Linked DNA regions of Saccharomyces cerevisiae S288C. Changing the gene in region 1 together with any one later gene gives a genetic interaction. Each region holds a gene or a part of one and is shown on either strand. Other genes may lie near its edges.

Region 1 (4,640 bases):
CAGATCTTTATACGTGACTAATAAATTTTCTATTTGAGTCCAAATTCTTTTTATAACAAGAGATTGTGAAGCATCTGAACTCTGGTTGAAACGGCGACGGAGCGTAAGACCTTTTGAATATTCGATAATGAACTCATTGAAATCGTTGTTAGTCAAACATCTCTTTAAAGATTTGGGTAGGTTGAAGTAAAACTTATTCAATTCAATAAATTTTTTGGTGGCCTGGTAATTCAAAATTTTCTGATAGTTATCCATTAGCGGTTTCAGTTTGAAAGTTGTTGTTCTAATAACCTCGTCGACCTTTTTATTTAAGCTTTCCACATTTATTTGATTTTCTTTTGGTGAATCACATTGGTTTTTTTCATTCGTTTTCTCGTCAAATTCTTTGTAAATTTGGTCTAACTTGTTTTTAATCTTAACATACTTGGTGAAATTTTTACCAACCAATTGTTTCAAATGTATAGATTGGTCTTGTATATCACTGTCCAACCTGTCCAGTGAGTTATTTAGATCATTGAAAGAGTCTTGTTTGTGCATATCTCTCAGAAAGGCTTTGACGTTGAATTGTTTACTGTTGACAAGATAGTTCAACCGCATTGAATCATTTGGTAGATGTTGCAATTCTTTAGACATTTCTTGTCCATTCAAGGGATCTCTAATATAACTTAACGACTCATCGTTTAAATATGCTCTCGATTCCTTGTCAATGCTAATTTGATTGCCATATTTGAAGTCTTTTAATATGTCGAATGACGTTTCAACGCCAAGTTCATTGCTTGTAGCCTCTTCATTATTCAATTTTGAGGAATCTTGGGCCCAGGAATGGGTCGGATTAATAGTCTTCAACTGATAAAAACGAAGTAGTTGCTCGTCGCCAATTTGAAACCTATCCATGGTACCAAACTTTTTTTCGCTACTTTATTTCAACAGAAACTTCTTTCCTAGTTTAGCAGCTTTAACGCAGCTTATTTTTGTTACTTTAGTTGAATAGTAGGAGTTGATACTTTTGTTTTTTCAAGTTGAAAACAGAAACGAAAAATTAAAGAAGCTGCAGATTCAGCATTCATGCCTAAGCTAAAAAGAACTGGCAGCGAAGAACAGAGGAAAGAATAACTGAAACTATGGATTTTGAGGAAGATTACGATGCGGAGTTTGATGATAATCAAGAAGGACAATTAGAAACACCTTTTCCATCGGTTGCGGGAGCCGATGATGGGGACAATGATAATGATGACTCTGTCGCAGAAAACATGAAGAAGAAGCAAAAGAGAGAGGCTGTAGTGGATGATGGGAGTGAAAATGCATTTGGTATACCCGAATTTACAAGAAAAGATAAGACTCTGGAGGAGATTCTAGAGATGATGGACAGTACTCCTCCTATCATTCCCGATGCAGTAATAGACTACTATTTAACCAAAAACGGGTTTAACGTAGCAGATGTACGAGTGAAACGACTTTTAGCACTTGCTACTCAGAAATTTGTTAGTGATATAGCTAAGGATGCCTACGAATATTCCAGGATCAGGTCTTCCGTAGCGGTATCTAATGCTAACAACAGTCAGGCGAGAGCTAGGCAGCTATTGCAAGGACAGCAACAGCCTGGCGTGCAGCAGATTTCACAACAACAACATCAACAGAATGAGAAGACTACAGCAAGCAAAGTTGTTCTGACGGTGAACGATCTCAGTAGCGCTGTTGCTGAATACGGGCTCAATATAGGTCGCCCAGACTTTTATCGTTAGTGGCTAACAAATGGAAATGAAATATGTATATAGTGTAGCAGTATGCAACTCTTTTAAATACACGATTCGTTATTAGATTGATTAGAGCACTTATTCACGCAAATTTGACACGCTTTTTGAACATCCGTTTTTCACGATTTTTTACTGAAGGATCATGAAAGATTGCCACATAAGAGAACACCTCCGTTGCACCAACACTTCATCACGATAAAAAAACTATCGAGCTATCGTACTACGGAACAACTACATAAGTCAAAAATGGCCATTGATTACTCTAAGTGGGATAAAATTGAACTATCAGATGATTCTGATGTCGAGGTGCATCCTAATGTGGACAAGAAATCGTTCATTAAATGGAAACAACAGAGTATCCATGAACAGCGATTCAAAAGGAACCAAGATATCAAAAATTTGGAGACACAAGTGGATATGTATTCTCATTTGAACAAACGAGTGGACAGAATTTTGAGTAATTTACCTGAAAGTTCTCTTACTGATTTGCCAGCCGTTACCAAATTCTTGAATGCAAATTTTGATAAGATGGAGAAAAGTAAAGGGGAAAATGTTGATCCTGAGATTGCAACATACAATGAAATGGTTGAAGATCTTTTTGAACAATTAGCAAAAGATTTAGACAAAGAGGGCAAAGACTCGAAGAGCCCATCTCTCATAAGGGATGCTATTTTGAAACATAGGGCTAAGATCGATTCAGTAACTGTAGAGGCTAAGAAGAAATTAGATGAATTATACAAGGAGAAAAATGCACACATTTCATCTGAAGACATTCATACAGGCTTTGATAGTAGCTTTATGAACAAGCAAAAGGGGGGGGCTAAGCCACTGGAAGCAACTCCTTCAGAAGCTCTTTCGAGCGCTGCAGAGTCTAATATTCTTAATAAACTAGCAAAATCATCAGTTCCGCAAACTTTCATCGATTTTAAAGATGATCCTATGAAACTGGCCAAGGAAACTGAAGAATTCGGTAAAATATCCATTAATGAGTACTCAAAATCTCAGAAATTCTTACTGGAGCACTTACCTATTATTTCAGAACAACAAAAGGACGCCTTAATGATGAAGGCCTTTGAGTATCAGTTACATGGTGACGATAAGATGACTTTGCAAGTCATTCATCAATCCGAATTGATGGCCTACATTAAGGAAATCTACGACATGAAGAAAATTCCATATTTAAATCCAATGGAACTATCAAATGTCATTAATATGTTTTTCGAGAAGGTTATCTTCAACAAGGACAAGCCAATGGGTAAAGAGTCTTTTTTGAGATCAGTTCAAGAAAAATTTTTGCACATTCAAAAACGTTCCAAAATTTTACAACAAGAGGAAATGGATGAATCGAATGCTGAAGGAGTAGAGACGATTCAATTGAAATCTCTAGATGATTCTACAGAATTAGAAGTAAACTTGCCAGACTTCAATTCTAAAGATCCAGAAGAGATGAAAAAGGTTAAAGTTTTCAAAACTTTAATACCGGAAAAAATGCAAGAAGCCATAATGACCAAAAATTTGGATAATATTAATAAAGTCTTTGAAGATATACCAATTGAAGAGGCTGAGAAACTTTTGGAAGTGTTTAATGACATTGACATTATTGGAATAAAAGCGATCTTAGAAAACGAGAAAGACTTTCAAAGTTTGAAAGATCAATACGAACAGGACCATGAAGACGCCACTATGGAGAATCTGTCCTTAAACGACCGTGATGGTGGCGGAGATAACCATGAAGAGGTCAAACATACTGCCGACACTGTTGACTAGAAATTTATGTAGCTATTTTACTGGTGCAGCGTGCATCTACTTCCTTTTTTATTGTTATTTTCATTTATACATAATACAAAAAAAAAAAAGAAGAAAATTAATGATCAATAAAGAAAATCGTGAAATTACAGCAGAGGTTTTGTACCTGCTTTCCTACGTTAGTACATAATATCTTATTTTTTATTAGTGCATGTTTTTCTCAGTGTGTGTTTTTGTAATTTGTATATACTACACAAAGAATCGGAAGGGTAAAATGTGAAAAATACTGGGTCTTTTGAAATATATTGAACGGGCTAATATATGAAATGAATATGAAAAGAAGAAAAAAATGTGACAAGAAAAAAGTGGTGACAAAAAAGACAAAATAATTATTCAGAGATGATAAACTTAAAGCAAAACTTGGTAACAAACTTTCATTAAAACAAAATATGTATTCTTTTTTCATTTTCATTTTTTTTTTACTGTTTTTTTGTTATTTCATGGAACTGGTAAAGAATTCTTAAGATTTTAAGCTCATTAATAAAAACGCAGCACTATTGTCTTCCCCATTTCTTGGCTGCTGTTCATGTTTCTGTTGGTCGTGTTGTAGGGGAGGCTCAATATCTCCATTCTGAGAGTTAGTAAAACTTGGATTTGTAGGTTTAGGGCTAACTACGCCATTAGTAGAACTTGCTACGCTGTCTATGTTAGGTGCTAAACTGTTATTTCTCAGAGAAGCTGCACCAATTGATTCCCAGTCTTCTTCGTCTGTATCTGAGTGAGGTTGATGATGAGAATGGGGAACAAGTTGTGGCGACGATTCCCCATTCAGGTGTTGTGAAGCTACTCTATGTTTCTCCTTGTCCGATAATACTATCGGATTTGAACTTACATTCATCTGTTCTTCTAGCTTAGGGGAGGTGGAAACCGACGTAGCTTTAGAGTTAGGGTTTGTAGTGACGATCAAATAGTTTTTGTTTGGGAAAAGTGTCGATCTAATACTTGATTCTTTCGATACAGACAGACGAGAAGCTCTTCTTGAAGTTGGCTCACTTGTCGCAGTAAGTTTCTCTAAATCTATCTTCGCCTGGTTTGAGTTACTGTTGTTATTTGATGGGGTTGTCGTTGAGGTTGTATTGG
Region 2 (4,120 bases), 690 kb from region 1:
ATTGGTGGCAAATGAACCAGTCACACTAGACACATCAACTCCTCCTGTGGCACAAAGCTTGGCGGATTCAAAGCATTGTTCAGGACTACATAAATAAATATAAATACGAAGCGGTAGAGATCACTACGGCATCCGCCTATCTGCAAAGGAAGCTCTATCGCAAACATACCACCGTTAATCTTCGCTGCCACAGTTTCCTTGTAGACCAATGGCATGTAGCACCGCCGCCACTGCCCGAAAAAAAAAGAAAATGAAAATTAAAGAACGATCGCAATTCTTGATAAAGCTCGAGAAAACAAAAACTCGTGAGTCACTGTGCATTTGCTGTCACATTTTCTACAAAGCGACGACATAGATATATAGAGGTGACTATATAAATCGTGTATCTCTTTTGATGGTTAATATTTAGCCTTTAGACATATATCAAACAAAGCATCTTCCAAAGTATTAGAAAAGGGAAATATGCCTCATACCGATAAGAAACAATCAGGATTAGCTCGTCTTTTGGGGTCCGCCTCTGCAGGCATAATGGAAATTGCCGTCTTCCATCCTGTGGACACCATTTCCAAAAGACTGATGTCCAACCACACCAAAATAACCTCTGGCCAGGAATTGAATCGTGTTATTTTTCGTGATCATTTCAGCGAACCTTTGGGCAAACGTTTGTTTACCTTGTTCCCGGGTCTCGGTTACGCTGCATCATACAAAGTTCTTCAAAGAGTGTATAAATATGGTGGTCAGCCTTTTGCTAACGAGTTTTTGAATAAGCACTACAAAAAGGATTTTGATAATCTTTTCGGTGAAAAGACTGGTAAGGCAATGAGATCCGCCGCTGCTGGATCTTTGATTGGTATTGGTGAAATTGTTCTTTTGCCGCTGGACGTGTTGAAGATTAAGAGACAGACCAATCCCGAATCGTTTAAAGGTAGAGGTTTCATCAAGATTTTGAGAGACGAAGGCCTGTTCAACTTATATAGGGGTTGGGGGTGGACGGCTGCCAGAAATGCTCCCGGTTCATTCGCCCTTTTTGGTGGTAATGCATTCGCCAAGGAGTATATCTTGGGTTTGAAAGATTATTCTCAAGCTACTTGGTCCCAAAACTTCATCTCCTCCATCGTCGGTGCTTGCTCCTCTCTGATCGTTTCTGCTCCATTAGATGTCATCAAGACAAGAATTCAAAATAGGAATTTTGATAATCCTGAAAGCGGGTTGAGAATCGTCAAAAACACTCTGAAAAATGAAGGTGTAACTGCGTTTTTCAAGGGCTTAACACCTAAATTACTAACAACGGGTCCAAAACTGGTTTTCTCATTTGCGTTAGCTCAATCTTTGATACCTAGATTCGATAACCTGTTGAGCAAATGAAGTACATGAACTTCTTGTCTATTTTCCTTGGCATTCAGCTTGTGAATATAAAATGTATAACAATATGAGTTTGTACTTTATGTATTATTTCCTGTTTTTTGACTAACTACTTTTTCCAATGTAATAGCTGTATCACCGTACCGAGGTAAGGACGTCAGCCGCGTAGTTCTAAAAAAATAAAGGATTGCTTTGAAGGGCTTCTGGGCCACTTCAGGACAAAAAGAATGAACATAAAGAAGAGCGCTAAATTTAATACTACAGAGGAACCTGTTACTATCTCAGCTTTTTCAAGAAAATGAAACCTCCGTTAAACATGTCACGTTCAAATAAACCACTTACTCAGGAAGCTAATAGTTCGGCGCATATTGATAGGGCACATCAGCTAGCACAGGATTTTAACAGTAAACAGGATGATACCGCACTAACTTCACTGCCCCACAAGAACCCCGACATATTCAGATTTGAGAACAACATCACAGCTCATAGCTCGCGTCGTGGTTCTCTATATAGAGACAGCGATGCTACTGTGGTTTTGCCGCTTTCTGAACATACCCCTAGATTATCAATGGATGATCCATACCGCCAATTACTACAACAGGCTGAAATCTCACAACTACGAAGTAAGAAAAAAAGGCATTCCAGTCGAGTTTTGCGTACTTCGTTTATATCTTTTGTGGTGCTAGTTTCCTCGCTGTCAGGGTTGGACCAAGGCCTCATATCTGGTAACGTTATGACTTTGTCGTTCCAGAAGTATTTTCATTACCCACTTACTTCTCCGCTGGGCAATATAGTGAGCATTGTTAATCTGGGTGCGTTCATGGCGTCGTTATTTGTCTATTCTGGCATCCTGGAGCCTTGTAGCAGGAAAAAAATGCTCCAAATAAGCACAATGATATACTCTTTGGGTGCCATTGTTCAGGTCTTGGCTCTAAACCAATGGTGTTTACTACTGGGTAGATTCTTACTCGGAGTAGGTATGGGCTTTGCCTTTTCTATGGTAATAATTTATCAATTCGAGTTTCCCCTTCCCTGTATAAGAAAACGGACATTAATTTCCATTCAATGCGTCTCTAGTGTCATTGCGTATTCATTCGGAATATGGATTAATTGTGCTTTCAGATATTTGGGCTTTGCATGGAGATACCCTTTGTCAACACATGTGGCACTTGGAATAATACTAAACCTAATGTCGTTCTATCTTATTTTAGAGTCCCCTTCGTGGCTGTTGAAGCAAAAGAACGACGTAGAGGCATTGGTTTTAATATCGAATGTTTTCGATGATGGAAATTTCGAAGAAAACCAAACTCAGTTGAAATTTAGGGTCCTGAAACGAGACATATTATTAAAGTCACACCTTCAAAAAAACTCCTATCCATATGCGTATATCTTAAAGGATTTTTCTTCAATAATAAAATTGTTGATAGGTTTCCAACTTCTCACACGAACAAATGGAGTGGATGCTTTCTTGTATTACTCACCGTTAATATTACAACAAATGGGGAGAGGAGAAAGAAAATCTATCTATTTAACGGGGCTTAATGCTTTAATTTACAGCATCGTAATATTAGCATATGTTCCCTTGGTGTTACGGAAACGTAAAGAGAAAACGAATGTACTCTTAGGTTCGATTGTGATGTGTGCATTGCTATTTACCATATCTTTTACAGACTGGTTTCCCAAGAGCACAACGAGGTATATATCAATACTATTTGCTGTTTTTCTTTTTACGCACTTCATCAGTTGGGATTCTATAGGATGGGTTATGACCATTGAGCTTCTACCTCACTTGTCACAGGCCCCAGTGATACTACTAGTCTCAAACTTTTATTGGATTTTTAAGTGGTTCGTCAGCTTAATAACCCCTATACTTATTGACCGTCTGTCTTGGAAGTTTTATCTTATTCCATCTTTATCTTCCTTTATTTCCATTATATTTGTGCTGAAGATTTTTCCTATAGAAACCCGTGACGAAAGGTTAGATTCTGATGATGATTCTACCGGAAACGGTAGCGGTAACCATGATGATGTTTTTGACGATACCGGTTCTGAATTCTCCTCCTCACCATCTTTTTCCGCGTATCAGATAAACACTCTAGGAAGTAGTATCAAACAAAATAATCAAGCCTATTCATCTATTCAAAATGAGCAGATTCTACCCAAAAACGGAAACTTATCGAACCAGACACACGGTTCTGCACAAAATGTTTATTTCATTACATCTGATTCAGGACCATCAAGGACTGGAGAATTTTTCAGTTTTCATAACAGAACCGATCCAAATATCAGCGACAACATTGCTGCGAATAAACCCAGTTCAGGTGGAGGCCAGAATTCGCCTGGAGACATGGCAGTTGCCTAGTATGGCCTCATAAAAATATTTGCTTCATCCTAAGTATAAATGTTTAGTTTTATCCTACATACATATTCTTATTATAGTCATTAGAAAAAAGGCACGGCGCTATTGGCCTGGCAGGGCATTTAAAATGCGGTGGAAACAAGGAAGATTAATCAAGTAATGATATAGCATATGCACAAAAAAAAAATTGAAAACGGTCGCATTTTTGATCTAAATGGACCAACGATGAAGGAACTGCTTTACTATACATTCATTGAAACTGAAGTGACTGGTGCATTTTTGGTGTTTAGGGAAAAGACTCAAAACCTTGTTTTTGCCTCGTTAGGTAATGATAAGCTTTTTTTATTGGGAAAGGTGGAAGGCTTCTTGAAGAAACATGAGAAACAGGATACAATGTAC

What was found.
Region 2: mutations in CDC37 (region 1) and YDL199C together harm fitness more than expected from each alone (negative genetic interaction), as found in Saccharomyces cerevisiae (2 studies listed by BioGRID).

Annotation. Positions count from the first base shown.
Region 1 is NC_001136.10:788,328-792,967, forward strand, and holds CDC37 (Hsp90 co-chaperone CDC37), read left to right. Parts: upstream 1-2,000; coding exon 2,001-3,521; downstream 3,522-4,640. Other genes in the region: exocyst subunit SEC5, read right to left, coding at 1-894; TAF10 (Taf10p), read left to right, coding at 1,122-1,742; STB3 (Stb3p), read right to left, coding at 4,021-4,640. UniProt on the Saccharomyces cerevisiae protein: Co-chaperone that binds to numerous kinases and promotes their interaction with the Hsp90 complex, resulting in stabilization and promotion of their activity.
Region 2 is NC_001136.10:100,894-105,013, reverse strand, and holds YDL199C (uncharacterized protein), read left to right. Parts: upstream 1-1,660; coding exon 1,661-3,724; downstream 3,725-4,120. Other genes in the region: ASF2 (Asf2p), read left to right, coding at 1-97; GGC1 (Ggc1p), read left to right, coding at 463-1,365; MGT1 (methylated-DNA--protein-cysteine methyltransferase), read left to right, coding at 3,947-4,120.